Caenorhabditis elegans: one gene and its partners. The protein of the gene in region 2 purifies or fractionates together with the protein of the main gene of each other region. This does not show direct contact. Each region holds a gene or a part of one and is shown on either strand. Other genes may lie near its edges. The genes, in order: lin-41, alg-1, rack-1 and hsp-16.1.

Region 1 (8,303 bases), on a different chromosome or scaffold from region 2:
AAGGAGCTACTGTAACGATTATTACTGTAACGATTGTTGCATCCTAATTTTGTTTTAAAAATCTTGACAGCAATTTTTGATTCAATTTTTAAAATATGATTCAATAACGGCCCATAATTAGACATGAGATACGGTAATTTGTTGTCCGCGTGGCGAGACCAATGCGCCTATGGTATGTCGAAAACTCCCATCTTTAGACGACTATGTAATAGAGGTCTTCATTTTTCACTGTTCGCCTTAATTTGTATTTCTTATTTCATTCACAATTCCTGTTTGGTTAGTTTCGGTCTGAGGTATTAAAAAAAGAAACGCACGCTTCGCGACGTTTCTTCTCCTTTTTTTGCGAAAAAAGTGAAAAAGTACACTACTCTTTCAAACATGAGGCCTTGCACTTTTGGCACGAAATTCTGTTTTTGCGACGACGGCGCGGCGGAGAAGATCACTGGGGGTGAGAGGGGAACACTGAATGGAAAAAAGAATGAGAAAGAGAGAACAAACTAGAGACACGCAGAGATCAAAAGCACTGAGCCCAGTGAAAGAGAAACACTTTGGTCTCTTCGTCTTCCCCTTCTTCCCCTTTTTTCCGCAAAAAAAAAAGAGTTTTCACTCTTTCTCTAACCATCTGTCCACTCTCGTGCAGCCTACCCCCAGCAGTCCTTCGGCGCGGCGCTCACCCCCAGGTGTGTAGAGAGTGGGAACGACGAAGAGACTACAGACATTTGGGGCGCCTGGGGGAGACAGCGGGGCAGCCTAGGGGTGGAAATTTAGAGAAATGGAGAGGAAAGAGGGGAAAAAGACTTCTACACACACACACAGACATACACACACTTTTATCGTTCCCACCGTGTTCAATGTCCCATAGGTTTTTGCGATTTTTTTTTCAAAAAATGAATTGAAGTTACTTCCAATGTATATCTGTTAGAATCTGTCTTGATATGAAAAAGATATGTCACGCCCCTTTATGATATTTTGAGACTTTAGGTCAAAAGGTCACAAGTTCAATAAGTCTTAGAAATAAAAATCAGTAATTGAAACGAAATTCATGAAACTTTGCTTCCAGATATCCGGACATGTAATATTTAATAAAAATTAGCAATGAATAGTTAGACATGTATCTTTTATATGGTTCATCCAGAACATAATTCGTACAATATATTGGTTTTTGCTACGTGGCCTAGAAAGTCCAAAAATTCGGCCAGTGATTCATCTTTAATTTTTCACTTCAGAACTTTGTGAAGCTTGCCGACCAAGTTATTTCAACGAGCAGATTTTCGAGAAAATGACCATAGCTCCTTTTAGGAAGGTGGCCGTGTTTTTGTATGTCGCGGCCACATAGTAAAAATCACTCGGTGTAAAATGTGATCCTAAGACAAATTCCAACTTTAAGTTTTTGGCCTGGAAAACCTAGAGAATTGTCCAGAAAACTCCTACAATTTCGAAAAAAGGGGCGTTTTTGTTTATTTTACTTTGATTAATCCAACGCGAGATGTTTATTTAGTTAGTGTTTTTCGCATTCTTCAATTTTCGCTTCCCGGTTTCTATTGCTTCGATTAAATCCCTGTAAAGCTTTCACAAAGCCTAAAATGTTTGCCATTTCCATCACTTTTTAAGGAGCTGCTCAAAAACTTACTTCCGTATTGAATTTTTTGGAAGGAAAAATGTTTCAGATTTTTTTGTTTAATTTTTTTTGAAAATTTATCGAAAAAACAAATTATGTCGCAAAAAATGTTTGGTAAAACAATTTTTGAGATAGAGAACCGTACCGTAATCCTTAAAGGCGCATAGTCGGTTGGAAAAATTTTGTGTTCGTGACGAGACCCAACACATAAAATTACGAGTTTTCATCTAAAAATAAGTGTTTTCAGTGAATTCTTCTATCAAATAAAATTTTAACAAATTTATTACAAAAAACTCTTTAAAAATATCTTCAGATACATTCAAATTCATTTCGCCCCGTATTTTCAAGGAAAAATCGATAAGCTACCGTAACCCCATTTGTTTTATTATTTTATTGTCGCATCATTTTTCGATAATTTTTGAAAAACATTCAATTAATATATTTAAGTCTCGTTTTATTTCAGGCCACGGTTGGCGAACGGGTAAAAAGGAAGAGCCGATCGCCTCGTTACTCAAGGAAAAGGCTCGACGTCGCTGGAGGAGGGAAAAGTTGGTTTTTTAGGATAAAAACCAACTTAAAGTACAAAAAGAGCCGGAAACGGCGGGAATGCGACGTTGGAAACGATCGTGATCTTGAATAAAGGTGAGGAACTTTTAAATAACAAAGCAAAATGCGAAAATATATTAAAAATTAAAAACGTCGAAAAAAAATTAATAAAATTTTTTTATTCGAAAAATTTTGACCTACCACAAATTTTTTGACTACTTAATTTTTTGTTTTTTGTTTTTATTTTCGAATATTAAATTGAAAGAGCGGCATTTTTCTGATTTTCCCATCAAAAATCCTTGTCATCAGCAGCCCTCGGGCCATTTTTCTCTCATTTTGTTCCATTATTTTCATATAAAAAGTGCACTTTTTTTGTGCTTCACTGACTTTTTTGTTCGATTAATTGTTCCATTCGTTCTGAAAAGTCAAAAAATTCATAAGTATTCTAATTGTAGAGTCATCGTTTGCCCTTTCCACTGATAATTAATCAACCTTTTCAGACTTGGAAAAAGTGAAATGGCGACCATCGTGCCATGCTCATTGGAGAAAGAAGAAGGAGCACCATCAGGACCTCGTCGGCTTCAAACTGAGATCGACGTGGACGCCAACGACAGCGGAAACGAGCTGTCGATGGGCGGAAGCAGCAGTGAAGGTAACACTTGAAAATTGAAAAAAAAGCTTCCAACGAAACAACTTCAGGTGACTCAATGTCCCACCATCGCGGTGAGCATTCACCAAACCATCATCATCAGGATAATCATCTTGGCTCGGGACCACCACCACCACAGTTCACTGGCTCACTATTTGACACTCCACCGTCAATGATTCAGTCACCACAGCAGCAACCACAGTTCCAGTTCAACACTGGATTCGGACTCGGACTCCCGCAAGACTCCTTTCGGTGCTCAGTCTGCTCCAAGAGCTCGACGATTGGAGTGCTGCCGTTCGTTTGTGCGCACAAGTGGGGTTTCAAGACAAATTATCAAAATGACAATTATTTTTAGAACGTGCCAATCATGCTACCAGATGACACCGTCCTCGTACGATCGACGGGGTAAATAAATATCTCAACTTTCTGTATGATTTATGAATTTTAGCTTGCAAGCTGTGTGGTGCCGTATCGACAGCCACCGCCAACTTTACATCGCAGATGTACCTGTCTCCGACGCTTCCATCACCGCCACGTGGAGCTCTGATGTCGGATTGTTCGACACCAACGATGAATAATCACATTAATTGTATGTTTTAATTCTCAATTTACACCGAAGAATAACCCAAATTCCAGCATCAACTCCACTTCATCAACCTCGTGCATTCTCATTCTCACTCAGTGGAATGCCTGGATCACCGTCTCCAGTGATGGGTGCACGGATGCCATCGTCTGCTGGTGGGCTCATGATGCGTCCAATTGGATTCCCCGACTCGGACAGCAGTTTGACATCATGGTCTCCATTGCAACAACCATCACAGCTTTCTATCAATAATCTGTCGAGCATCGGAGGACACCAGCAACAATCGCCGATGTTGATGCAAAATGTGTTTGATTCGTTGGCAGTGGTCAGTTTTTATCAAATTTCAAACAGAGAAAAGTACAATTTTGTGGAGTGTGGAGCTATAAACAAATTCAATTTCCCGAATTTATGATGTTATATATTATGTGGTCGCAAATCGAAAAATGGTTCAATTTACGGTTTCGCCGTCAATACCTAACGAGACCCAACTTCTGGGGGTGGACCTCGATTAAAAAATGAGCATTTTTCTACGGCCCCATAATATTTCAAAAATCATTTTTTTCGCAAAAAAAAGTTAGCATTTCTCTCTTCCCAAGAAACATATTTTTCTCCCTGGCTTCAATAAGTTCAATAAGTCTTTTTTCTAATTTTTTTTGCTAAATGCGCCCTCCTGCGAGCTGAAATTGCACCTAATTCCTCGTATTCTTTACAGAACGATGATACTCCTGTATTCTCTCCACTCTCTCCAACGAATACTTCAATGCATATGCCACCATCATTGATGGCATCACCAGATGTTCCAAAACATTCTGCAACCATAGCTCCACCACGTAATTCCATGTGCTCGACGCCACGTCTTCAATTGGCAACACCAATGTCTTCACAATCACAGCAAACTTTTCCAATTCCTTCACCACTTGGATCTCAGCCACAACAACAACAGCCAATGGGTCCGATTCAATGTCAAGGATGCGAATCGAAAATGTTAGTTTTCCCCTAAAACTTCAAAGATAATTAAATTATATTTAAATTTTTCAGATCGTTCGCCTACTGTATGCAATGTCAGGAAGCTTTGTGTATTCATTGTGTTCAAGCTCATCAGCGTGTTCGAGCCACCAAACAACATGCGTTCGTTGAGCTTCAGCAGTTGATGGCTACTTTGGTTAGTTTTTATCTTATCGTGTGTTACTACACGCTTTTTGCGTCTCAACACGACAATTATTTTTTTGGAAATTCATAAAAAGTATGCGCCTTTAAAACGTACTGTAATTAAACTTTTCCATTGTTTTTCATTAAATATTTGTATATTTATTTATCGAAAACCTAAAATTAAAAATTAAAACCATAAAAAATCGATGAAAATTCACAGCTACAAAAATTTGAAACTACAGTACTCTTTAAAGGCGCACACCTTTTTGTAGTTTACAAAAATTGACATTTTGAGACATGATACCGTAGTTTGGGAGCAAAAAATAATATATGTGGTCTATATTAATATCACCTTGATCCGTTTCAAGATTCTCCACGTGCTTGATGACGTGAATCGTTTGTAATCAGGAATCATAAAAAGAGTACGCAATAATCATAAATCAATGACTCCTGTCAATCAAGAAAAAACACAGAATCAGTACTTTTTTGGTGTATTTTTCCGTTTTTAAATGTCTTATCAGTAACTGATTGCAGGATTAGAACACAAAAATTGGCTGCCGACCGTTCCACTACATTAGTAAAACTTCTTGAAAATAACTTTTTGAAAACTATCAAGGAAAGTATTTCAGCTCACTTTTAGATTTTTAAATGAAACTTGTGTCAGCAGTTTCACATTTTTCAAACAAAACCAAGTTCCAAAAAGCTCCCAGAGTGTTTGCTTACCTCCAAACACCATAAACATCACCAAAAGCTTGCAAAAATCCACATTTCGAAGAAAACAATTTACTGAAAGCAGTTTCAGAGCTGAAATACTTTCCTTACAAGTTTATAGATTTTTCTATCCGAATATGTCCACGTACTAGGAAATTCCCATTTTTCAACATCCAGGCGTTCGTTTCCCTTTTTCTTCTCCTTCAACCACCTTTTTTCGCCATTATTCACAAGCCAGTCGGAGGGCCAATTTAGTGCCGAGAGAGAGAGAGGTGTCTGCTCCTCATCCGGTGCTCTTTTTGCACTATAGTATTATTTTTTGCTCGGCGAACACGTAATTCCTCTAAAATCTAAAAGTATTATTTTCAGATGAGCCGTGCAGTTCAACCACAACAAGCACAGCAATACACTCAAAATGTTGGAGGATCAGTTCGTCAAGCACTTGGATCAGTTGGAAGTGGAGATGGTATATGAAGATATTCTACAGTAATTCAAACTGTTTCAGTTTTCTTTTCAGGACATGTGTCTGGCGTTGAAAATGATTCAATTGGCAGTGGAGAATCATCACCTCGAAGCTCTTCTGTGTGTGGAACTCATGATTCAGTAATCATTGGAATCTGTGAGAATTGTCCTCATTCAGTTCTATTGTGTGCAATCTGTGTTGCTCAACATCCTGGAAAGCATCGAGTTCAGCCACTTGGAGATATTCGAGTTGCTGTTGGAGAAGTTGTTAATGAGAGTCAATTATTGCAATGGCAATGTGAGAAGACTGGTGATACTATCAAGCAGATTATCGATGGAATTGTTACAAATGCAACGGTAATTTTCATAATTTTCAGTCCGATGCGTTTTGTTATTTAAAAATAGAGTTTGGATCTATGGTGTCATCAAACTTTTTCATTCGATTTTTGCAGAGAAAAAAATTGAAATCGAAAAAAAAATTTAAAAATTAGCAAAAACAAACTATTTTATGAAATTTTATGTTTTTTAGTGAGAAATCGAAAAACTGACTATATAATCTCCACAATTTTCAGACCGCTGAAAACGAGATTCGAGCCGCTTTCGATACACACGTCAACGCTTTGGAGGAACGACGAAAGGAACTACTCAAGAGGTTTATTAATTTCAAATCTGCAATCACTAAGCTTTTCAATTAATTTCAGGGTGGAGACAGTGAAGAATCTGAAACTGTCAGTTCTCATTTCACAAGCAGAAAGTCTTCAATCAAAGCAAATTGATTTACAACAAGCAATTCAAACTGCAACAAAGTTGATGGATAGTTCTGATTGTGATGAGATGGTTCTTCGTCAAGTATTTGAAAAGTTGGCATCGTGCCAAATGGGAAATGAGGGCACCGAGCCAAACAACAATATTTTGAATGTATTGATGTTGGCATGTCAGGTGAATGAAGACGATCGACTCAAATTCACAGCTCCACAGGATGGAATTCTTCTTAACAAAGCTCGACAATTCGGAAATATTGAGAGTGGGCCATGTGCCAAGAATAGTTCAATTGTCGGAGACTCTTTTAAAAAGTTAGTTCAGATTTCAGATATATGGAAATTTTTTGTAAATTTTCATAGAATTGTATAAAATTATTGCTATTAAAATTTTTTTTTAATCATAGAAAATTTAGATAATTTTTTTACAGTTATAGGGAGGACTTTTTTAATGTGGTAAAGTGCATCAGAATTTGCAAAATCGCGATTTAAATTTTAGAATCATAAATAAAGAAAAATGGAAAAATTGGTCGCGTTACAGTAACCACTTTTTGTCGCAATTCGAAATTAATTTTTGTATTTTTTTTCAAAATCAGAGTGAAGTTTGCGGAAAACCAAACATGTGAATCATTTTTATAACAAACAATTATTTTTATTTAAAAAAAAAAATTTCAGAGCGATTCGTGAGCGTCAAACAGTGATCTATGTGCAACTCCGCGATGCATGTGGAGATCTGTTGTCTTCATCGATTGCTGCAACTCAACCAACATCCCAAGCACTTCTTCCTCATCAAGAACCACATTCCCATTTGGAACAAGCTATGCCAACTTCTGATGTACAGGCTTTTGTCATTTCACCAGATGGATCAACTGTAGAGGTCACAATGACGTATGATTTGACTACTATTTCCAAAAAAACACAATAAAATTTCAGACCCCGTGAGAATGGAATCGTCGCACTCTCGTATTATCCATCTATCGAAGGATCCTACACACTGAATATTCTTGTCAAAGGAACTCCAATCAGTGGATGCCCGACAACAATGGATATTCGACGTGGCAGGAACTATGATGAGATTGCAGCAAAAGGGCCAATTCTGACATTCGGAAAAGAAGGATCCGGTGACGGAGAATTATGTCGTCCATGGGGAATATGTGTTGATCAGAGAGGACGTGTTATTGTCGCTGATCGAAGCAACAATCGTGTTCAAATATTTGACAAAGATGGAAATTTCATCTCAAAGTTCGGAACCAGTGGAAATCGTCCAGGACAGTTTGATCGTCCTGCTGGAATAACTACCAATTCTCTGAACAATATTGTGGTGGCTGATAAAGATAATCATCGTGTCCAGGTATTCGATGAAAACGGAATGTTCCTTCTCAAGTTTGGAGATCGTGGACGTGCTGTTGGCTACTTCAACTATCCATGGGGAGTTGCCACGAATTCTCATAATGCGATAGCCGTCTCGGATACTCGGAATCATCGTGTTCAGATCTTCACACCACAGGGACAATTCGTTCGCAAATGTGGATTTGACTCCGCCTACTTCTTCAAGAACTTGGACTCGCCACGTGGATTGTGCTATCTGCCAGATGGACAATTACTCATTACGTATGAGAAAATATTAATATTTCCTTTAAAAACCTTAATTCTTTCAGCGACTTCAACAATCACCGACTCGCAGTCCTATCGCCCAGAAACATGTCAGAGATGAAGGTTTACGGAAGTGAAGGAGATGGTGATGGAATGTTCGTTCGTCCACAAGGAGTTGTGATTGATCCAGAGGGACATATACTTGTATGTGACTCTCGGAACAATCGAGTTCAA
Region 2 (10,915 bases):
AAGAAGTCTGTTTTTTCGAGTGTCCACTGCATGTAGGGTTGGTTAATTATCGGTGTGATAATTGATGCTTTGAATTGATATGGGCATTTTCGATTCTTTCAATCGATAGTGTTTTTTATTTCTCGAACAGCATTAGTTGACAATGTTTTAGCTTACACTGAACTTTTTAATGGTGTGATGTTTCCCTATTTTCTTTCCCTATATTTAATATTTTAATACACCTGTTATTATCAAAATATTAAAAAAAAACTGTCACCTCAAATTTGAATCCTGCCAAGCCCGCGAAAAATTCCCTCTCGATTTCGGATACAGAAAATTTGCTCGAATCGAGAGATGAGAAATTTGGGAGATGCTGGAATCAAATAAGACTCCGCCTACTTCCTTTTAGTTTTCCGCCGGACACTTCAAAAATGAAAAGAGTGGGTAATACCTGGCGGCCGACAACCCACGGGTTCCGTGCCTCGCTATAAATTAAGTAAATTAAGCCACACCCATTCAGTTGGTGTGTTTTTGAAGGGCGTGGCTTAATTTACTTAATTTATAGCGATGCGCGGAACCCGTGGGTTGTCGGCCGCCAGGTATTACCCACCCTTTTCAATTTTGCGGTGACCGGCGGAAATCTGAAAGAAAGTAGGCGGAGACCTTTTTGATTCCAGCATCTCCCGAATTTTTCATCTCTCGATTCGAGCCAATTTTCGGCATCCGAAATCGAGAGGGAATTTTTCGCGGGTTTGGCTGGATTCAAATTTGAGGTGACAGTTTTAATATTTTGATAATACGTTATAACTTAGATTTCAATTTCAAAAAATAACAAGACAGTTACATTTTTGTTTCCATAAACTTTTTTATAAGCTTTTTTATTTCTTGACACTTCATTTTGTATACTTTTGTGTAACATGTCAAACTTAAGAGCACTATCATATTACACCTATCACTCGTTAATTTTATATTTTTCTTATCGTAGTTAACATGCATTCCGTCACCGCTTGTCACCGCGTAGTCTTTGCATTTTGTGCTGTCCGGCGTCGCTCACTAGACGTGCTAATTATTTCTAGGTACTATATATTTGTCTAAATTGTTATTTTTACTTAGCCGGTCGACAAATGCTCAACAGAACCGTCACACCACTTTTTATTTTAGTTTCTCTGTGTTTCCTGAGGGTCACTTTGTTACAGTTAGCTTTGCAACCAGTTATATTGTCTGATAATCGAACGTTTATCAAGGAAAGGTCAGGCGATTTTTATATAAAACACAAAAATAATAGAAAAAAAGAAATATGCCGATGGCATTGAGTGGGTGTGTACGGAACAAATATGGGTAGCGATCAATGGCTGACCTATATTTAGTGTTACGAATCAGCAATCTATGATCACTGCTAATTGGAAAATTACAGTTTTTCACTGAAAAAATTCAAAACGATAAATGAGAATGCTCATAATTTCAACCATGTGTTTTTTTAAATAAAAGTTTAAAGAAAAATAAAAGTGTCATACTGTACATAATATGCACTTTTATAACTGTTTCCTCATCAAAAAATATTACCCAAATTTCATAAAACTTTCATTCATGCTTAAAATTTTTTGATTAGTGCAAATATACTTTCCACTTTTGTAAAAATTATCAAATTATTTACGGAAGAAAAACCACCCCCTTGGGTATCTTTTAACGAAACTTGGTTTTTAAATTGTTGGGTCTGTTAAACTTTTTAATTTTCATTGTCATCGTTTCTAAGTCCATTCCAAAACTGTTCATGTTCGGTGTCAGGCACGGCACTACCCATAAACATGAACCTTAACCCTTGACGGGACAGACGGGAGGCCGCTCATAAAATGCACTATACTGCTCAAAGCATCTCTCTCCCCCCGCTTCTCTGTGTCTCTTGGACCATTACACATTTTCGCTGGTCTAATGCCAGGGCAGCCTCGTCCAGTTCCAATAGGTCCTTCTGCCACTCTTCCTCTTTCTTTCCCTTTTACTAACCACCATCTGCCGTGGTTTTCGTTGGCTTTCAATGGCGTGTGCGGCCTAGAACCGTCTTGTACTTTTCAGTATTCATAGATTAGCTGATGGAAAGAGATTATCCCGACCATTATCGTTTCTCATTTTCAGTTTTAGTGCTTGAGAGGATTTAGTGTTTCGTCTAGATCAGGAAGTTCACAGATGCACTTTATTCTTTATTGAAAGATCTTTCGAATTTGCGGAAGTCGTTATTTTGAATTAATCTTGAAAATGCTATTTTTCAAACAGAAATGTATTAGCTTCCTTAAACTATTCATACAAGTTGAAAAATTTTTCAAATACATAGCTGATAGTTTGATTTGTTATTAAATATGCTTCGAAGATTTTAAAAATGACCATTTTTAAACAGTTTGTAGTTATTCAAAACATTGGGCTCACATACCATACAAAGTTTTCAATATTCTAAAGTTTTTATTTTAATTTTGAGTAAGACACCAATTTTTTCTGATGTGTTTTCACAAATTGGTGATAAATTTGAAAATTACGGCTAACTTCCCAGCAACACTTCCTTCGCATTGAATTCATTTTTTGATCGTGTTCATTCCGAATTTTGTTTTTCAGTTTCTGTTCTATTTTGCTTTTTCCTTTTTCCTTCTCCATTCCCTCGTTCACCTTCCCCCTCTTTCTTCCCGAAACATCAATAATTTTCAGAGAAACCTCAAGAAAGTCTCTCAACTCCACTCGTGGCATATGCACTTCAGACGGTGTAGCTGACGACGAGTTTAACATCATTCAGGAATCTAACCAATAGCAATCACTGAGAAAATCATCATCAGCAATCGGGCCAAAATCAACTTTCTCCTCTTCTACTACTATTTGTTCAACTCTTTCTTCTCCACTACCCCTGCCAACTCGAAGAGACGAATCTGTAACCGACTGACAACACCGACGTCCTTCTACCTCCTTCTACCTCTTCCTTACCCTTATTATTGCTTTAAAAGGATACAATAACTAAAGGAACCAGAAGCTTCTACCGCTACTCTTCCCATCTCACTGACCCAACCCAGCGCTTTCAATCCCTCTCATGGCTGCCGAACTGAACAACACCAACACAAATGGTAAGCTTATTTTATTATTACTTATTCTTAACATAAACATCTGTACTAAAGAAGTTATCATAAGATTTATTTCTAACAATTTTTCCTCTTCCATTTTTCCACCAAATCTAATTGCACTTTCCGGGAGATTAATATTCAATCTGAAAAGGTGTCCGGCAACATAATTCCCTGACTTTAACATCAAACATTTCATGAGACTTTGCCATTAGAAAATATTTGTATTCACACATGTGTATAATTTAAAATATTCATTTGTTCACTTTTGGGACAATCCTGTATGTGTTCTTCAATAATGGAAATAATGTTAATTTGCATTAAAAATTGAGAAAGAAATGCCAAGTGTAATTTTTGATATTGAGAAAAATATGTATATTTCTTCAAGATTTTCGACACCACAGAGACTTGATAAAGGTCTTGAAAATAATTATGAGTGTTTTTGAAATGCGAAAAACTGTCTGTGAGAACGTTGATAAATATACTGAAAATAGTGTTTAAAATCAAGTTTAAAATTTTAAAAATTGAGATTGAAAATCGAAAAATATCCAAGTTTCAACATTTCTGAGATAATAAATAAAACTTTTTTGTCAAAGTTCTGATTAGTCTGTAGAAATTTCACTTGGCATAGAACTTGTATGAAATAATTTTCAATAGACTTTCAAATTATGAGAAGTGAAAACTTTCTGTTGACCCTCCTGGCAACAAATAAGCAACTTTTTGGAAATTGTTTTCTATAATATTTAGTGATTAAATAAGTGATTTTGAACAACCTTATGGTGCTTCTCCAATTTTACTATAATTGTTATATTTTTCTAATATTTATGTAGGAATCCTTTCAGAATGAATGGATGAATTAACTACTACTACCAATTTTGCGCATTTAGTTTTTTTTGCAATTCTCAAAATTGTGCCAAAAACAATTCTAAAAATTCTAAAAATCCACATTCACATTCACGACAGTATGCAACCAGATGTGGTGATTTTTACAACCAACACCTTCTCTTTTTGCCTCTCAAATTTCACTTTTGTTTGGAAGCCCTTCTGTTTAGAGTTTATGTCACTTTTCAACTCATACTATTTCCATACGAAAAGTCCGTTGTCTATCTCTCTGCGTTTCCTTCTAATCGCAAATCTATTCCACCCGATCGGACAACTGACCCACATCGATATGTTTAATCGCATCGGCTCTCAGCACTCCGCGCGTTTCTCTCCCTTTCTCTCCACAGACCATCTTTTTCTTTGTTTTGTGAGTCGATCCAACCCGCTCCCGGCAGCCTGCTTCCCCCTGTATTTGGTAGTTTCCAACTCTCTCTCATTTTGCTTGTTCCACTCGCCTCTCTCGCGACACACTATCTCTGCCGTCTCCTGATTTCGCATAGTCTCTTGTTAGTGTACAATAGCGTATAGTACTGGCCACCGAATGTCTGCGTCTCTTGATCTTTCGGAATGCATTCTGTCAGCGCCCGCTTGCGCAGCAGTCCGATTTCCGATTCGTCGTGTCCTCGTCGTCCAGTCGCCGTTGCGTCCTCCTTTGACGTCGCTGCCCGACACTGTTTTACTTTTCTCTTTCTCTTTTCCTCCACCCCGTACCTCACACGAACAACCTGTCGGTTTCCAATCTATATATCGATTTTCTCTTTTTTAAGTTTTGGGTTTGTCTGCATTTGTAGAATTTTTTTCCAAAAATGCATGACGATCTATAAAAAAACCTGAACAATCATTTCACAATACATTCATTTCAGAGTCGTCTAACGTCGCCTCAAACGACCCAATGTCCGGCGGGCCGCAATATTTGCCAGGAGTCATGAATTCTACCATTCAACAGCAACCACAGAGCGCAACATCGTCGTTTCTGCCAAGTGGACCGATTAGTTCGACGTCCACCTCCTCGCAAGTTGTTCCAACATCTGGAGCCACCCAGCAGCCGCCTTTCCCGTCGGCACAAGCGGCTGCGTCAACAGCGCTCCAAAATGATCTAGAAGTAAGTTTTCATCGTTTAAAAACGCAGTGTACACATCTGATATTATCTTGTTATTAGTTTGTAATAATTTTTAAATCTTTGAACTTACACATTGTATTTCAGGAAATATTTAATTCTCCGCCTACTCAGCCACAAACATTTAGCGATGTTCCTCAAAGACAAGCCGGAAGCCTGGCTCCAGGAGTTCCCATTGGTAATACAAGTGTCTCAATTGGAGAACCAGCAAATACACTTGGAGGCGGTTTACCAGGCGGAGCACCGGGACAATTACCTGGGTAAGAAATTTGAAATGTTATGAACTAATACGGTATAATCAAAAAAAAAACCCCCGTGAGAAGCAATAACTGGCAATCATTAATTTTTGATTTCAAAAAAGGGATTTTCGAAAAAATGTGGAATTTTTAAATGTAAATGTTTTCAGCGGCAACCAGAGTGGTATTCAATTCCAATGTCCTCGACGCCCAAACCACGGAGTTGAGGGTCGCTCAATTCTTCTTCGCGCCAACCACTTTGCAGTGAGAATTCCTGGAGGAACTATTCAACACTACCAGGTCGATGTTACTCCAGACAAGTGCCCAAGAAGAGTTAATCGGTAATCATTATTATTCCAAAATGAACTAACTTATTAATTGTATCAATTTTCAGCGAGATTATCAGCTGCTTGATAAGCGCATTCTCCAAGTACTTCACTAATATTCGCCCTGTTTACGATGGAAAGCGCAATATGTACACCCGCGAGCCCCTTCCAATTGGAAGAGAACGTATGGATTTCGATGTCACACTTCCTGGAGACTCCGCCGTTGAGCGTCAATTTTCGGTTTCTTTGAAATGGGTCGGACAAGTTTCTCTCTCCACTCTGGAGGATGCCATGGAAGGAAGAGTTCGCCAGGTTCCATTCGAAGCCGTTCAAGCTATGGATGTCATTCTTCGTCATCTTCCAAGCTTGAAATACACTCCTGTCGGACGTTCATTCTTCTCGCCACCAGTTCCTAATGCTTCTGGAGTCATGGCAGGATCATGCCCTCCCCAGGCTTCTGGAGCTGTCGCAGGAGGTGCCCACTCCGCTGGACAATATCACGCCGAGAGCAAACTCGGGGGTGGCCGTGAAGTCTGGTTTGGATTCCATCAGTCGGTTCGCCCATCTCAGTGGAAAATGATGCTTAACATTGATGTCTCTGCGACTGCTTTCTATCGTTCCATGCCAGTCATTGAGTTCATCGCCGAAGTTTTGGAGCTTCCAGTTCAAGCTCTTGCTGAGCGTCGTGCTCTATCTGATGCTCAACGTGTCAAGTTCACCAAGGAAATTCGTGGTCTCAAAATTGAAATCACCCACTGTGGACAAATGCGCAGAAAGTATCGTGTCTGCAACGTCACTCGTCGTCCAGCTCAAACTCAAACTTTCCCACTTCAATTGGAGACTGGTCAAACTATTGAGTGCACTGTCGCCAAGTATTTCTATGACAAGTACAGAATTCAACTCAAATACCCACACTTGCCATGCCTCCAAGTTGGACAGGAACAAAAGCACACCTACCTGCCACCAGAGGTGTGCAACATTGTTCCAGGACAACGTTGCATCAAGAAGCTTACGGATGTGCAGACATCGACAATGATTAAGGCTACAGCTCGTTCTGCTCCAGAACGTGAGCGTGAGATTTCCAACTTGGTCCGCAAGGCCGAGTTCTCAGCTGATCCATTTGCTCACGAATTCGGAATCACCATCAACCCAGCAATGACTGAAGTCAAGGGACGCGTTCTTTCTGCTCCAAAACTTCTCTACGGTGGACGCACTCGAGCCACCGCTCTCCCGAATCAAGGAGTTTGGGATATGCGTGGAAAACAGTTCCACACTGGAATCGATGTTCGTGTCTGGGCGATCGCTTGTTTTGCTCAACAACAGCATGTCAAGGAGAACGATCTCCGCATGTTCACCAACCAGCTTCAGCGGATTTCCAACGACGCTGGTATGCCAATCGTCGGAAATCCATGCTTCTGCAAGTACGCTGTTGGAGTCGAGCAGGTTGAGCCAATGTTCAAGTACTTGAAACAAAACTACTCTGGAATTCAACTTGTAGTGGTTGTTCTCCCTGGAAAAACTCCAGTTTATGGTATGTAATTTGTTTTTTTTGTTTATTTCTGATTATTTATTTTCTAATTTTTCAGCTGAAGTTAAACGTGTTGGAGACACAGTTTTGGGTATCGCCACCCAGTGCGTGCAAGCCAAGAACGCAATCCGAACAACTCCACAAACTCTTTCTAATTTATGCTTGAAGATGAACGTAAAGCTTGGAGGAGTCAACAGTATTCTGCTTCCAAACGTACGCCCAAGAATCTTCAACGAACCAGTCATTTTCTTTGGATGTGACATCACTCATCCACCAGCAGGAGACTCTCGCAAACCATCCATCGCAGCAGTTGTCGGCTCAATGGATGCTCATCCTAGCAGATATGCTGCAACCGTCCGTGTCCAACAACATCGTCAAGAGATCATCTCAGATTTAACCTACATGGTCCGCGAGCTTCTTGTTCAATTCTACCGCAACACTCGCTTCAAGCCAGCCAGAATCGTTGTCTACCGTGATGGAGTTTCTGAGGGGCAATTCTTCAACGTTCTTCAATATGAGCTTCGCGCGATTCGCGAGGCTTGCATGATGCTTGAAAGAGGATATCAACCAGGAATCACTTTCATCGCCGTCCAAAAGAGACATCACACTCGTCTCTTTGCTGTTGATAAGAAGGATCAAGTCGGAAAAGCATACAATATTCCGCCAGGAACTACTGTCGATGTAGGAATTACCCACCCAACCGAGTTTGACTTCTACTTGTGCTCTCATGCTGGTATTCAAGGAACATCTCGTCCATCCCATTACCATGTTCTTTGGGATGACAACAATCTGACAGCCGACGAACTTCAACAGCTCACATATCAAATGTGCCATACCTACGTCAGATGCACACGATCCGTTTCAATTCCAGCGCCAGCATATTATGCTCATTTGGTAGCGTTCCGCGCTCGTTATCATCTTGTCGATCGCGAGCATGACTCTGGAGAAGGTTCTCAGCCATCTGGAACTTCCGAGGATACCACCTTGTCGAACATGGCTAGAGCTGTGCAGGTAATATTGGCATTTAATTTAGTTTCTATTTGAAAAAAATTAAACACTTTAGGTTCATCCGGATGCCAACAACGTCATGTACTTTGCTTAAACTAGGAATCTGCCTAGGAATCGACTTCATAGATAGCTATTACTCACCAACTTGCTCTAACAGAAGACGAGTATTGAATATTGTCATGTCTACCTAATATCTATCTTGATAATTCTGTGTCTTTATCTGTATCTGTATCTCCATTCAAATTGATTTCAATATGCTACAATGTTATAATGTTTTTCTATAATCGGACTCTTATGTTTTCAAATTCCATATTTAATTTGTAATTCTAATTGCCGCTACCTCTCGTGTAACTGTTTTCTTTCTTCCATCCATTTTTCACTTCCCACAACCAAAATGCCTTTACTTAGTGACTTTTCCTCTCATCCTGGTAGCCTACAAAGCTTCAAAACCCATTTAATATCCTTAATATTTTTCCTCGCAGTTGATTACATTGTCCAAATGCACTGCTGTCGTCTTTCCACCTTGTAACCTCCGAGAGCACCGAGCACTACGACTCCTCTCTTCACACTCACATCTTCTCGCTGAGCAATCATCTTGAAATGCTTCTTTCTTCAACTTACGGGCTTGATCTGTCAAATTCCTTCCAATTTCTCATCGCCTACAGTAGTCCTAGTTGCGTTTGATGTTGACCTATTCGACTTCCTTCCCCAAACAACCATTAAAAACATTACGAGAATGCTGATGTTTTCTCCGCAAAATAGCCGAAATTTGGGCTAGATTTTACTCTGCGCTCCTGGTGAGTCTTGTATGTTCTTGCACTTCAAATCCACACGTATGTGGCAGTTTATGGCTTTCAATGCTGAAACACATATACTGATGGACGCCTGGAACACTTGACCACCCATCAAGACGTGATCGGTAAAATTTACTCTGGGTGTCTTCTATTTTCGTGCAGAGTTCTGCATTTGTTATGGCATTAACTTCGTGATTGTTCACTTCACTCACATATTTGAAAATTCTGACGCAATATTTATCACCTTCAGTTGAATATTTTTGCATTGTGCTACAATCTTTCATTTTTTCTTGAACTCTCAATACCCTGTCATCAAAAAAATCACCAATATATCTTGTCAAGTGCATCTTTCCAATTGATTCTTTCTTCATTCACTCTCTCACTTTCTTTCTTGCAAATACTAATTTTTAGGGTTTTTATTATTTACAAAATTATTGTAACATTTAATTACTCTAACTTTAGGATTTAATCTTCAGTAAATTAACTTACAATTTTCCAACCCAAAAAATAATATTAAAAAACTCCCCTCTTCACTTCATTTCCACAATTTGTCATACTTTCAACATCTCTACCTGACGTCCCCTAAGCTCTTATATTTTTGATCCAGCTGCCTAACTAAAAAAAACTCGCTCTCAACCTCAACTTTTGTGTCTTACTGTATTTCCAAACAAACCCTTTTCTCTTTCAAAACCCTTTCCCACTTCCCCCTGATCCTGATGTCTGAAAGTCTTCCCCCCACCCCACCCACAGAAAACCTTTTTCCGCATTTGTGTTGTAATTTGCATTCTCATGCATTTTGTACAATGTGTGATTTTGTTTTTTTTCTTTGCAAATGAAGCGATGAGGGACCAAAATTTGTTATATTTTTTTTGTAAAAAATTTTCAGAATGCTTGAACCCTGGGTATATGAATATCTGATGTTCAGAATCCTTCAAAAAATCTCAGACCGGCAGACAATATGGATGTTGTAAATGAAACAACTGAAGTCCGAAACGAGGATTTCATATGTAGTGGCAACCCCTATGATCTGGCTGCTAGGAATAGCTCATTGGAATGACGATGTTTAATATTTTTCTGCAAATGAGTACAAAACACATATGAAAATTGGAAATTAAACAAATGCTTACATCTTTAACTCTGAATTATAGCAGTTTGAAAAATCACAAAACATTCTGTGACCTCTGAAACCTTCTTTTAAGATTTTTTTTTCTATTTCAGAGACAAATGGACAAAAAACTCAATAATTTTTGGCAATCTATATGCTATAAATTCAAAAATTGTGTCATAATTTTGTGGATCCCAACTCATCCTGAACAGATTTCCATAACTTAAAGGTAAAACAGGTAAAATGTGTTTGATTTGATAAACAGAATAAATATTTTACATTTTTTGATTTACCTTTTTTTTGCAGATTACATAGAGAACTTTGAGCTTTCTGACGAATTCCCCGAATTCATAAAATAACAGCTAAAACTTTAACAAAGACTTTTATTGCAGATTAGGCTTATCAAAAATATATTTGCACACTGAGGATACGTTATTGTCAAATTCAGGAACATATCCTGAATATGCAAAATTTCCTTTGTTATTCCCATCGGAAAACTGTTGCATATGTATGCTGCGATTAAAAACCAGTTTTCAACTTTGCCTGCCTAACAAAACCATTTATGAGTTTGCGTGTGTAAAATCAAATACTACATGCAAAAACAGAAGCATGGTATTTTAGGTTGTAGTTTTGTAGGAAAAGCCATTACACTTTTGAGAGCAAATAGTAGGGAAAATAATTGTTGAAGAAAGTGTATAGAACAAAGCTCTGGTTGTCAATGGCAACCGTTGTTGTGTTCTTTGCGTCTCCAGGTTTCTCCAACTAGATTTCGCAATTTTTAGTTTTCCATGTGTGGCTTTGTATTTTTATTTTCTAGAATAGTATTTTCCATATCAAACTTAGTCGAT
Region 3 (6,856 bases), on a different chromosome or scaffold from region 2:
TTTGATTATTTTTTTGGCGAAATTATTTCCCTTTATATTTAAAAATCACTCACCACCCGTAAGGCATGTAGATTTGATTTTCAATAAAAACTGATCCTGATAGTAGAATGTACCAGCTTCGTGCGACATCTCCATCCCTGAAATTTCAAATTCATTATTTTTTTATGGGAGTGGAGAAATATCAAATTTTCAGGCAATTTCTATTAGTTTTTCCAGAAAATGTTATTTTTTCAGATTTATAAGTAAAAATAAGAATTAACCGTACTGATTTTCAAATTAAACTTTTTTCGCTTTCAAAAATTATTAGTTTCCTCATTTTGATTACCCATCAACGAAACTTTTTAATTTTCGGAAAATCGAAAAATATTGTTCAAAAAATTAACAATATAAATTTTTAAAAAATATTAAAAGTTAAAAAAGACCAACATTTTAAGCTATTTTTTTAAAAACCTTTAAAATGTGTTTTAAATTCTATTAGTAGATTATTGAAAATTTCGTGAATTATCTAGAAAAAAAATATTTTAAGTCATTACAAACTGTATGAATCAAAAATGTTGTCGAATTAAAAATAATAAAAAATTCTGATTACATTTACGAAATATCAAATACAACGCTTTTTTTGTTTTGAAAATTTTGAAAAAAAAAATTTCATATGAATTTTAGTCTATGAGAAAGATAAGATGTTCTTCATATTTTAAAATTTTAAGTTTTTCAATGAAAAAAACATCTTTTTGAGGGGAATTGTATTTAATTTTTCCCTTTGATATTTATGTTTTCCGGGAACAGAGTCCGAATCAGTTTAAAATTTATTTTAGAAAAACTCACCGAAAAAGAATATATTGTGCTGGATGCCTTTCATATCGAGCAGTTTTACAGAGAGCTTTCAATGGACCTATAAACAAATTACTGAAGGTGTCGAGCTGCCGCAATTGCTCGTATACATTTCGAATATCCTGAAAAAATAATTAATTACATAATTTTAAAGTGGAATATTGATTTGTTTTGAAAACATTTTAATCCGAAAAAAACTTACATCTGGTGTCCTTAAATGCGGTGGTTTAATGAGGGATTCGTAAAAACGAGCATCATTGACTGGATCCTGTCGAGGTTTCCGAGGATCCATCTGATTCTCCTATAAATATAAAATATCTAGATTGTTAGTTTTTTCGAAGGAAAAATATAAAAAATAAAATTTCGGGAACCATAGTAAGGCAAAAAGTACAAAATGTAAATTTTTTCGTTGAACAGAAGCCATGTGGTCTTCCATTCAGATTAAGACGGCAAAGAGAGAGTAAGCGAAAGAGGACGAGCGTTCAGATAATCTCATAAATCAGCATGTAATGGGGTGAATGGGGCGGAGAAGGAGGAGCTCGGATGCTTCTTTTGTGTTTATTTATGTGAATAGAGAGGTAGAAGAATATGTATATATTCATCCCCAAGAGATGTTAGAGGATTTGCAGATTACTTTTAGATTATTAATGAAGATATGAGAATATAAGAGACGAAAAGTACATGAATACAACAATTTTTCTAAAAAATCACGAAGGCACTATCAACTAACTGATTACTCCTTACAATGATGATATTTAACAATTTTTGCAACAATCTAGAAGTACCGCATGACAATACCAATTGAAAATTGTTAATTGTTAAAATGGGAGTCACATATAAAAGAAAAACTAGGACATTTGTAGTGAAAATGTACAGCTAGAAGGCATAACTTCTGCCACTCCCGTTCTTAATCAAAAATTAGCCTCGATTAGTGTCTTTATGAAAGTTTCGATTGTTCTGATCATCTACAACTGAAAAAAGGGTCCCATCCAGTCAGTTACCACCAATTGAATTACAAAGTGATAATGATGTCGTCGTGTGCCGATAACAACGTCTAATCTCTATTACTATCAGAGGTTGATTATAAACAATCAGGGGCACTAGACACAGGAAAGAAAAGGATGCAAAAGTTGTGAAGAAGGGAATCAAAGTCTGAGGGGGGGGGGGGCGATTAAACGGGCGGATAGTGAATGCGGCGGCCGCACACACACATAGGGACGGGCATTTGGAGGAATGTGACTAGGAACAACACAGAGGCGAAGAGGACAAGAAATAAATCGGACAGTCTGTGTAGAGGCAAGAAATTGGAGGAGGAAAAGGCGAGGGACGGTGCGGAAAAGCACCGCCAAACCACTGCGAACCGATCAATAATACAACGGAAGGTGCTGCGAAGAAATAAGAGAGGAACGGAAAGTTGAGACGCAGGTTGATTGGGTTAAAGATTGCACTGATTGCAGAGAAGACAGAGAATCGAGTGAAGATTGGCTCAGGAAAGAGTTGATTGTTGACATTCCCATTGGAAAAAAACAGATATCGAAAAAATGTCTAGGAGCAAAAAAATATTTTTCATTATGGGAATTGTTGTGATGTTATTGCTATTGCAAGGTTCTGTTGTTGTATTGAAAGTCAGCTAAAAAATGGGGAATTATTGAAAATATATTGTATTCAAAAATTCTTCAAAATAAAAATGACTTTTTTGAATGAAAAAAAAACTTTAAAATAGTGATGTTGGCATATCAACGTAAAATTTAAGATGAGAAGGTATTAAACATTATAAGGAAACAACTCGAAGATTTTCAAGCACATACCAAAGTTTTCACGGACAATTGGCCAATTTCTACAAGAAGTCAACATTTTTGTCGCTTCGTCAATTTGAAACCCATAAAAGCATGACTAAGCTGACAGGAATTCCACGAAAAAGCAATAGATATGCGCAAAGAACTAGTCTCGTCAGATTTTTCTGGCAATATCTCATGCAGTAATCTTAATATGTCTTGCACACATGCAACCCCGGATGCTGAAATGTTAAACTTTAAAATTCGAGCTCGACACGATGAATTTGAATGGATGGAGAATAATTAGAACTAAACCCACATTACATTGATTTTAATGTAAAAACTAAAGTATTTTTGCTTTTAAATGAGAAAATAATAATTTTTCGAAGAAATCAAACCAGTTTTCAGAAATATTAATTTTAAGGCTCAAATAAATGGCTCGCTAAACTCGAAAACAACTGTCACAATAAAAGCTAAACATAAATAATTGAATAAATAAATAAGTAAATTTAAAAAAGTGTCAAAAACTGCTTCATAGATGCAAATTTACAAGAAAAAGTTAATTTGTTCCGTAAATTCGTTAGTTGGCAAAGTGCCAGGTTAAAGGCGCATAGACTTTCGCTGTGGGGTCTCGCAGCGACTCACCCCTTCTCCTCTGCTGCTGGCTGGCTAGTTTGACGCGAATTTTTAGGACGATTTTTCCTTTTTTCTGTATTTTTCTGTTAAAGCAATGATTTTTTCAACATTTTCAACATTTAATAATTAAAGTGGCTATGTTTTTAACATAATTCGAACAAAATTATGGTTTTCGTTCGCTCTATTCTCCAAAATTTTCATTTTTTTATATGGAACATTTTTATTTTTAGCAGATCGAACGGGGTTACACAGATAGCAAAATGGTCCAAGAGCAAATGAAGCTTACCGGAACCCTCGAGGGTCACACCGGATGGGTTACCCAAATCGCCACCTACACCCGCAACGACAAGACCACTGTCCTGTCATCTTCCCGCGGTAAGTCAATTAATATAACGTTTTCAAATTTATACTCACATTTTTCAGACAAGACTATCCTTGTTTGGGATGTCGACAGCGTTGCTCCAGTCGATGAGGGACCAATCGGTCGCCCAGTTCGTTCGCTCACTGGACATAACCACTTCGTCTCTGACGTTGTCATCTCCTCCGACGGACAATTCGCTCTTTCTGGATCCTGGGACAAGACCCTCCGCCTCTGGGACCTCAACCAGTAAGTAATTCAATAAAAAAACATTGTGCAAACAATTTTATAGGGGAGTGAGCACCCGTCAATTCATCTCCCACACCAAGGATGTTCTCTCTGTTGCCTTCTCTGCTGACAACAGACAAATCGTCTCTGGATCCCGCGACAAGTCCATCAAGCTGTGGAACACTCTTGCCCAGTGCAAGTACACCATCACTGTACGTTTTTTCAAATTCTTTTATAGGAAGATTTATCGAAACTATTGTTTAGGATGATTGCCACACCGATTGGGTTTCCACCGTTCGTTTCTCTCCATCGAACCGCGATCCAGTGATCGTCTCCGCAGGATGGGACAAGGTTGTCAAGGTCTGGAACCTCGGAAACTGCCGTCTGAAGACCAACCACATCGGTCACACCGGATACGTCAACACCGTTACCGTCTCTCCAGATGGTTCCCTCTGTGCTTCCGGAGGCAAAGACGGACAAGCTATGCTTTGGGACCTCAACGAGGGCAAGCACTTGTACACCCTTCCAGGAAACGACGTCATCAACGCCATGTCCTTCTCTCCAAACAGATACTGGCTCTGCGCCGCTGTCGGATCTTCCATCAAGATCTGGGATCTCGAGGACAAGAAGGAGATCGAGGAGCTCAAGCCAGAAATCGCCAGCTCTGGAAGCTCAAGAGGATCCAGCCCACAGTGTATCTCTTTGGCCTGGTCTCAAGACGGACAAACCCTCTTCGCCGGATACACCGATAACATCATCCGAGTGTACCAGGTGTCGATCCGTGCTTCCAACTAATTTGTTACCTGTTAATTCAAAACCCTTCAATAAAATTGTTGATATAATTTTGTATTCAACCATGTCAGATAAATTATTCGCGTTAATCAAGAATATCTAGCAGATGATAAAACAGCAAGGTATACTTGTTATGTTAGAGATGACGGATCGTAATGAGTTGATCGGTGTTGCAATTCGAGTAGTGGCGGCGGCTGCAGTTTCATTTCTATCAGTGCGCTATCTAGTCAAGTACTTGGATCCAAATTATAGTGTGAATGAAGAAAGCAAAAAGAAGGTTTGTAGATTTACAACACTAATTTTGTTTTTTTAATATACAGGTGGCACAGCTGTTTCATGAACTTGGTATCGATCGTCAAATAGAACTCTCAGAGCACGAAATTAGAATCGCCACGCAGTTTGTTGGCGGAGAAGACGTTGGAGCAGATTGGGATGAGATCGGTAGAACAGAAAATTGTTTCGCAAAAAAAAAGAAAAATTTTACAGGTGGCTGCGAAGAACTTGTTGCTGAACTAAAGGATCGCATTATTTTACCCTTGAGATTCGCATCGCAAAGTGGAAGTCATTTATTGTCTCCTCCACGTGGAATTCTTCTTTATGGACCACCCGGATGTGGAAAAACTCTTTTAGCGAAAGCAGTTGCAAGGGCAGCTGGATGCCGGTTAGTTATTCATAAATGCAGAATTGACCTGTTTTAAATATTGCTACCTTTCAGATTTATCAATCTTCAAGTGTCAAACCTAACTGATAAATGGTACGGAGAGTCTCAAAAACTTGCGGCCGCTGTTTTCTCTGTTGCTCAAAAGTTTCAACCAACAATTATTTTCATTGATGAAATTGATTCGTTCCTCCGAGACAGACAATCTCATGATCACGAATCAACAGCAATGATGAAGGCACAATTCATGACATTATGGGATGGATTTTCTAGTTCTGGAGATCAAATCATTGTTATGGGAGCTACAAATCGTCCACGAGACGTTGATGCTGCTATTCTACGCAGAATGACTGCAAGATTCCAAGTTCCAGTACCAAATGCCAAGCAAAGAAGTCAGATTCTTAATGTGATTCTCAGGAATGAAAAGATCAATAATACTGTAAATCTCGGAGAAATCGCACAGGCAGCAGAAGGTCTTAGTGGAAGTGATTTGAAAGAGGTTCGTGCTTTTTTTCTTTTTAAAATTTTAATCAAATATATTACATCCCCGAAATGGTCGTAATATTATTAGTTCGCTTTGTGGCTATATATGTCACATATATTCTAGTGGAATTCGGTAACGAAATATTTAATATAAATCTGTTCAACATGAAAAATTGTAGACAATAATATATCTTGGATTTCCTATAAAATCCAATACATTTTTAACATGAATTAATAGTGAAACAGCAAATAAGTATATGTGTTTTTATTGAAAACTACGAAAACTCGATTAAACTTTTGCAACAACGAGAGTTTGAAATTACAGTACTCTTTAAAGGTACACACCTTTTCATAGTTAACATAAAATTTCGTGTCGAGAATATTTGGGGCAGAAATCGCAAAGTTTTGCGAGCTTCATGAGAATAAATTGCTGTTTCACAATTAATTCATGTTTCTAATGTGAAAAATGCATTGGATTTTAAAGGAAAAATGTAATTTGTAATATGATAAAATGTAATATAATTGTCTACAGTAACCTTAAAGGAAAAAAAAATACAAATAAAAACATTAGTGAAGAGAATTGTATATATTTAATACAAGTTGTTCTAATAGTGAGCTTGAAAAAACTTACAATTTTGAATTTAATTTTAAAAAAACTCATTTAAATTATTTCAACTTCTTCCAAAATCATCTAAAAATATTTAGAAGTTAGATACACAATAATTAGCTTAAAAAATAATACGCGTTCGAAAATTTTAAGTTTTTATGTTACAGGAAAATGAAACGCCAATAATCGTGTTGTTATGTAATTTTTCAGGTTTGTCGTCTTGCTCTTCTCGCTCGAGCAAAAGCTACTGTAGCTTCTGGAGGTTCCGTAAATCAACTTCTTCCATTGGAACAGTCCGATTTTGAGTCAGCAGTGCATAAATATATGAGAGCCGCACATTTACTTGTTGAAGAAACACTTGATTAGTCTTAAAAGTTCAAGAAACGAATGTTTTATTTCATGTAAACTTCTATTTCTTTTTCTCTAAAAGTAGTCCATTCGTTCTTGTAGGTCTCAATTTATTATACCTTTTTGTAGTATAAAGCTAA
Region 4 (6,211 bases), on a different chromosome or scaffold from region 2:
TTTGTCATTTCAGCTGATCATAAATGCATTTTAACAGGGACTCCTACGGCAACGACTTCGAGTTATAATCGCGATCAGATAGAAAACTGTTTGAACGTTCTGCTACTGAAATTGACGTACGTTTTACTTGAAACTGATTCGTTATGCCAATTACTATTGAAAACAGTATTAATATATTTTTCAGGGCCGCGCGCACGCAGCCCCGATACGCAAAAATTAAGCTGTTGGCGAATCTCAACTCGAGACTGCCACACAGGTCAGCCCATCCAAAAGTGCAATGGATAGGCCTCACCATGGGGATCCCGCCTTCATGATCGCGAGATAACCCCCAGCCAGGTAAGTTTAAGAAGTGGCGGTAAGAGAGGGTAAGGGTGTTGTATAGCATGACATCTGGCGGGTTCCGCGGAGCAATGCAGAATGTGTTAGGATGGGAGGGGCTGTGCAATACCCAAAAATAGGCATTATGCAAGAAGTACATTGCCGGCATTTACATATTTATTACTAACTTTCAAAAAATATCACAAATTCATATTATTTTTAAATTTTATTGAAACAGAATACTGGAATTTATAGTAATTACATGCATAGTTCAAAAAAATCATAAAATTACAATAATTATTCAGAAGTTTTTTGTTCAACGGGCGCTTGCTGAATTGGAATAGATCTTCCTTGAATCGCTTCCTTCTTTGGTGCTTCAATTGAAAGTTTTCCATCTTCTGAAAGATTTGAAGCAACTGCACCAACATCAACATCTTCGGGTAGAAGAATAACACGAGAAAATGATTTCTTTGAATATCCATGTTCAGTCTTTAATTCTTGTTCTCCTTGAATTGATAATGTATGTCCATCCAAATTAATTTTCAAATCTTCTGGCTTGAACTGCGAGACATTGAGATTTATGGCAAACTTTTGATCATTGTTAACAATCTGAAAGAAATCTTTTTTATACAAACTCTTGAAAAAAAAACGTGTTACTTACCTCAGAAGATTCAGATGGAGAGCCTCTGCAAACTGGAGTAAATTGACGTTCCATCTGAGCCATATCTCTCATGAGATCACCAAAAACAGAACGTTGAGCTGGACGGAAATAGTGGTAAAGTGACATGATTGTAGTTTGAAGATTTCACAATTAGAGTGAATGTTGTTTGGTTCGGTTTTGTCACTGTATTTATACTCATTTCCACCTTTTTCTAGAACATTCGAGCTGCTTCTTGCAAAAGGAGGGCGACTCACATTCAGAACATTGAGAAATAGTGTGCGTACTGAAGAAACCCAGATACTTTTTCAATCTGCGTCTCTTTGCACCTATGGGGTGTATTTTGAAATGAATGCATCTAGGACCTTCTAGAACATTCTAAACGGCTGCAGGATACGGGTATATAAGCCAATCGTGTTCAGAGGAAACCAATACACTTTGTTCAAGTGCTTACTGTTCATTCTCTAAACTTCAAGAATGCTCATGCTCCGTTCTCCATTTTCTGATTCAAATGTTCTCGATCATTTCTTGGATGAAATCACTGGATCTGTTCAATTTCCATATTGGAGAAATGCTGATCACAACTCATTCAATTTTTCCGACAATATTGGAGAGGTAAGAAAATAATCTCTTTTTCAATTGTTTATTTGTCAAATGTTTTATTTTTCAGATTGTAAATGACGAATCTAAATTCTCTGTTCAACTCGATGTTTCTCATTTCAAACCAGAAGATCTTAAAATTGAATTGGATGGAAGAGAACTAAAAATTGAAGGAATTCAAGAAAAAAAATCAGAGCATGGATACTCGAAACGATCATTTTCAAAAATGATTCTTCTACCAGAAGATGTTGATTTAACTTCTGTCAAATCTGCAATTTCGAATGAAGGAAAACTTCAAATTGAGGCTCCAAAGAAGACTAACTCATCTCGTTCTATTCCCATTAATTTTGTTGCAAAACATTAATCTTTTATTGTATTCCAAATATTCTTAATTTCAATAAAGTCATTAATTTAATTTATTCATGTTCTCTAGCATAACAAAAACATCAAATCCGACTTTCCAATTCAAATATTTCAAAACAACATAACGGCTCAACTTTACAGCATACTCATGCTACGTTTTACCAACCGTTAAACGTTTAGCTATAAAAATTCCTGCATCGTTTCAAACGACTTTTGCAACTTTTTCAAAATTCAGTTTTTCAGCTTAATTTCGCTCACAACTGTGTTGATCAACTGCACCTTTATAACAGCTTTTGACAGTTTTTAAGTGTTTTTATCAAGTCGCAGGAGTTTTCTGAGAAGCCGAGTAGCTGGTAGCTTAAAATATTTTCTGATTTTTCTCTTGAAGAACCTATTTTATGAGGGCCCTGTAGAAGTTGCACGCACTGTAATTTTTTTAAAACATTTTTTATGTTTTTTGTTTTAAGCATAAATTCAAGCTAAAACATTTATTGAGACTAATAAATTTTTTGCATAAAAAGTTTCTGGAATAACTTCAATTATGTTGTTTTGAAATATTTGAATTGGAAAGTCGGATTTGATGTTTTTGTTATGCTAGAGAACATGAATAAATTAAATTAATGACTTTATTGAAATTAAGAATATTTGGAATACAATAAAAGATTAATGTTTTGCAACAAAATTAATGGGAATAGAACGAGATGAGTTAGTCTTCTTTGGAGCCTCAATTTGAAGTTTTCCTTCATTCGAAATTGCAGATTTGACAGAAGTTAAATCAACATCTTCTGGTAGAAGAATCATTTTTGAAAATGATCGTTTCGAGTATCCATGCTCTGATTTTTTTTCTTGAATTCCTTCAATTTTTAGTTCTCTTCCATCCAATTCAATTTTAAGATCTTCTGGTTTGAAATGAGAAACATCGAGTTGAACAGAGAATTTAGATTCGTCATTTACAATCTGAAAAATAAAACATTTGACAAATAAACAATTGAAAAAGAGATTATTTTCTTACCTCTCCAATATTGTCGGAAAAATTGAATGAGTTGTGATCAGCATTTCTCCAATATGGAAATTGAACAGATCCAGTGATTTCATCCAAGAAATGATCGAGAACATTTGAATCAGAAAATGGAGAACGGAGCATGAGCATTCTTGAAGTTTAGAGAATGAACAGTAAGCACTTGAACAAAGTGTATTGGTTTCCTCTGAACACGATTGGCTTATATACCCGTATCCTGCAGCCGTTTAGAATGTTCTAGAAGGTCCTAGATGCATTCATTTCAAAATACACCCCATAGGTGCAAAGAGACGCAGATTGAAAAAGTATCTGGGTTTCTTCAGTACGCACACTATTTCTCAATGTTCTGAATGTGAGTCGCCCTCCTTTTGCAAGAAGCAGCTCGAATGTTCTAGAAAAAGGTGGAAATGAGTATAAATACAGTGACAAAACCGAACCAAACAACATTCACTCTAATTGTGAAATCTTCAAACTACAATCATGTCACTTTACCACTATTTCCGTCCAGCTCAACGTTCTGTTTTTGGTGATCTCATGAGAGATATGGCTCAGATGGAACGTCAATTTACTCCAGTTTGCAGAGGCTCTCCATCTGAATCTTCTGAGGTAAGTAACACGTTTTTTTTTCAAGAGTTTGTATAAAAAAGATTTCTTTCAGATTGTTAACAATGATCAAAAGTTTGCCATAAATCTCAATGTCTCGCAGTTCAAGCCAGAAGATTTGAAAATTAATTTGGATGGACATACATTATCAATTCAAGGAGAACAAGAATTAAAGACTGAACATGGATATTCAAAGAAATCATTTTCTCGTGTTATTCTTCTACCCGAAGATGTTGATGTTGGTGCAGTTGCTTCAAATCTTTCAGAAGATGGAAAACTTTCAATTGAAGCACCAAAGAAGGAAGCGATTCAAGGAAGATCTATTCCAATTCAGCAAGCGCCCGTTGAACAAAAAACTTCTGAATAATTATTGTAATTTTATGATTTTTTTGAACTATGCATGTAATTACTATAAATTCCAGTATTCTGTTTCAATAAAATTTAAAAATAATATGAATTTGTGATATTTTTTGAAAGTTAGTAATAAATATGTAAATGCCGGCAATGTACTTCTTGCATAATGCCTATTTTTGGGTATTGCACAGCCCCTCCCATCCTAACACATTCTGCATTGCTCCGCGGAACCCGCCAGATGTCATGCTATACAACACCCTTACCCTCTCTTACCGCCACTTCTTAAACTTACCTGGCTGGGGGTTATCTCGCGATCATGAAGGCGGGATCCCCATGGTGAGGCCTATCCATTGCACTTTTGGATGGGCTGACCTGTGTGGCAGTCTCGAGTTGAGATTCGCCAACAGCTTAATTTTTGCGTATCGGGGCTGCGTGCGCGCGGCCCCGAAAAATATCTGAGTCAGTTGGCATGGCTAGTGGTTTTATTTGTATAGTGTAATTTGTTTTGGCCATTTCTATTTAAACTTTGCAGGAATTGGAACATGGATAGCTTTTAATTTCTCAAAAGTTTTTTTTTGTTGAAAATTTGGCAATTTACAAAAGTTTTAACGAAATCTTTAAAAAATCAAACTAAGTTAAACGGTCCGCGGCCATCATTTTCAGTACAGACAATTGTAAGAAATGTTTGTATTCTTAAAAATCCCTATTTGCTTCGTTTAAATATCTTTTCCAGATTTAAGAATGTCTCAGAGATCAATAAACATTGTAACTGTGATCCGAATGATCGTTGGACACTCGTACACCCATTCCATGTTTTTACAATCCATCGTAAATGTAGTCAGTTAGGCATTGACCAGGTAAGACTTGAGTGCTTGACTTTAGAAAACCAGTGATATGATATGAGATAATATTCCGGTTTTTCAACACTTTCGTGTTATTCTCCCTTTTTCTGCAAGCAAAAATCAGACACTGGGCAGTGAATGATGGAATAAGTTCCCAAGTTTTTAATCTTTATTCTTTTTTTGAATGATCAATCTGTCGAAAGACATATTCCCTGGTTGTTGATTCGTTTCTAATAGGATTACTGTAGGTTCAGTGAAGAGTAACGAGTCACGAGTAGGTTTCCGTTCATCTATGGAATAAATATTCGTTTGACGAAAAAGTTCGTGGTATCAACACTATTAGTTGTGATGAGTCATCACTTTGTGATACTCTATCACTCCCTAAAACAATTTGATGGTCTTCTAAGACAATCACAGACTACAAGTGAGATAACAGATAAGTCAATGTATGACCGTCTATAAAGGAAGGATTAAAGCTGGTAGAAAAACTCGTTTTTTGGTGTGTAGTCGACCTAAAAAAGAACGCATGACAACAAGGCACTGAAAAGAATGTTATCTGATGAATATGATAGAATGAAATGAACGTCTTGTGCTTTAGACTGGATCACTTTTTCCAAACGGCAGAAAGCCTTACGTCACAAAAATAAAAGAGAAAGCTAATGTAGAATGCAATAAGGAAGGAATGCCAGCTATGAGAACTCAAATTGTTCAGCAGATTAAAATAATTGTATTTAATGTGATCTGCACTTTTCAATCCGTTTATCATGTGATGAATTGAAAATGATGATTTTCCTAGAGACTACTGTACAGGTTAGAGATAATGTAATATTATGAATTACAGAAACTTTTATTGATCTTCAACAAAAAAAAAATAATAAGTGTATTCCATTCAAAATATCATTTTAAAAGTGATGAAACTTTTTCTCATTCGTTGAAAATAGTTTTTAATACCACATTTAATTTATTAAAACAGAAACCATTCAGAAAATTCAATGCAGAATTACAGTCAGTTGTAATACATAGAGCCCAAATCATTTTTTGTCCCGTACTTGAAACTCGATTATGAATATGCAGTTATTTTTTATTTAAAATAATTTTTAATATTGCATTTCTTTTTTCCCCATTTTCCTTACAAAAAAAAGTATAATTTTTTATAAAACGCGGTTTTATTTTTTTGCTTGAAAACAACTTTTTTCGAAACAAGTGTTATTGTTGTTCAGACCACATTCAAAACGATTATTCTGTTATCTTTTTCATTGAATCCCTTTTTTCTTGTGATTATTTACCAGACAAGACGTCGGTCAGAATTATTGTGTCTTGGTGATGTTCAATCGTTACGTTTTTTGTCTTTCTTGAAAAAGGGAGAGAAAATAATTGAAGTTTTCACATTGGGTACAGATAATTAGAATTCATTATCCACTCTATTCGCATGTTAATTCGAATTTAATACTGAAA

Evidence for each region.
Region 1: the proteins of alg-1 (region 2) and lin-41 purify together in Caenorhabditis elegans (affinity purification with western blotting; 2 studies listed by BioGRID, with this or other methods). This does not show direct contact.
Region 3: the proteins of alg-1 (region 2) and rack-1 purify together in Caenorhabditis elegans (affinity purification with western blotting; 2 studies listed by BioGRID, with this or other methods). This does not show direct contact.
Region 4: the proteins of alg-1 (region 2) and hsp-16.1 purify together in Caenorhabditis elegans (affinity purification with mass spectrometry, with the first as the bait; 2 studies listed by BioGRID). This does not show direct contact.

Annotation. Positions count from the first base shown.
Region 1 is NC_003279.8:9,336,275-9,344,577, reverse strand, and holds the start of lin-41 (Protein lin-41), read left to right. Parts: upstream 1-2,081; 5' UTR 2,082-2,260; intron 2,261-2,664; 5' UTR 2,665-2,680; coding exon 2,681-2,816; intron 2,817-2,863; coding exon 2,864-3,125; intron 3,126-3,168; coding exon 3,169-3,218; intron 3,219-3,261; coding exon 3,262-3,402; intron 3,403-3,449; coding exon 3,450-3,721; intron 3,722-4,108; coding exon 4,109-4,380; intron 4,381-4,434; coding exon 4,435-4,558; intron 4,559-5,625; coding exon 5,626-5,722; intron 5,723-5,761; coding exon 5,762-6,075; intron 6,076-6,290; coding exon 6,291-6,370; intron 6,371-6,419; coding exon 6,420-6,791; intron 6,792-7,151; coding exon 7,152-7,364; intron 7,365-7,409; coding exon 7,410-8,087; intron 8,088-8,134; coding exon 8,135-8,303. UniProt on the Caenorhabditis elegans protein: Heterochronic protein which acts downstream of let-7 in temporal patterning. Plays a role in the developmental timing of postembryonic hypodermal seam cell division and fusion events and adult alae production.
Region 2 is NC_003284.9:13,946,446-13,957,360, forward strand, and holds alg-1 (Protein argonaute-1), read left to right. Parts: upstream 1-3,043; coding exon 3,044-3,077; intron 3,078-4,816; coding exon 4,817-5,055; intron 5,056-5,157; coding exon 5,158-5,330; intron 5,331-5,476; coding exon 5,477-5,647; intron 5,648-5,700; coding exon 5,701-7,163; intron 7,164-7,218; coding exon 7,219-8,171; intron 8,172-8,223; coding exon 8,224-8,262; downstream 8,263-10,915.
Region 3 is NC_003282.8:10,173,208-10,180,063, forward strand, and holds rack-1 (Small ribosomal subunit protein RACK1), read left to right. Parts: upstream 1-3,472; 5' UTR 3,473-3,502; coding exon 3,503-3,617; intron 3,618-3,665; coding exon 3,666-3,849; intron 3,850-3,892; coding exon 3,893-4,040; intron 4,041-4,092; coding exon 4,093-4,623; 3' UTR 4,624-4,668; downstream 4,669-6,856. Other genes in the region: pxf-1 (Rap guanine nucleotide exchange factor), read right to left, coding at 54-137, 826-953, 1,034-1,123; mspn-1 (Mitochondrial sorting homolog), read left to right, coding at 4,763-4,897, 4,941-5,061, 5,107-5,281, 5,336-5,777, 6,579-6,734.
Region 4 is NC_003283.11:9,085,009-9,091,219, reverse strand, and holds hsp-16.1 (Heat shock protein Hsp-16.1/Hsp-16.11), read left to right. Parts: upstream 1-3,437; coding exon 3,438-3,563; intron 3,564-3,615; coding exon 3,616-3,927; downstream 3,928-6,211. Other genes in the region: hsp-16.11 (Heat shock protein Hsp-16.1/Hsp-16.11), read right to left, coding at 616-927, 980-1,105; hsp-16.49 (Heat shock protein Hsp-16.48/Hsp-16.49), read left to right, coding at 1,454-1,591, 1,647-1,940; hsp-16.48 (Heat shock protein Hsp-16.48/Hsp-16.49), read right to left, coding at 2,603-2,896, 2,952-3,089.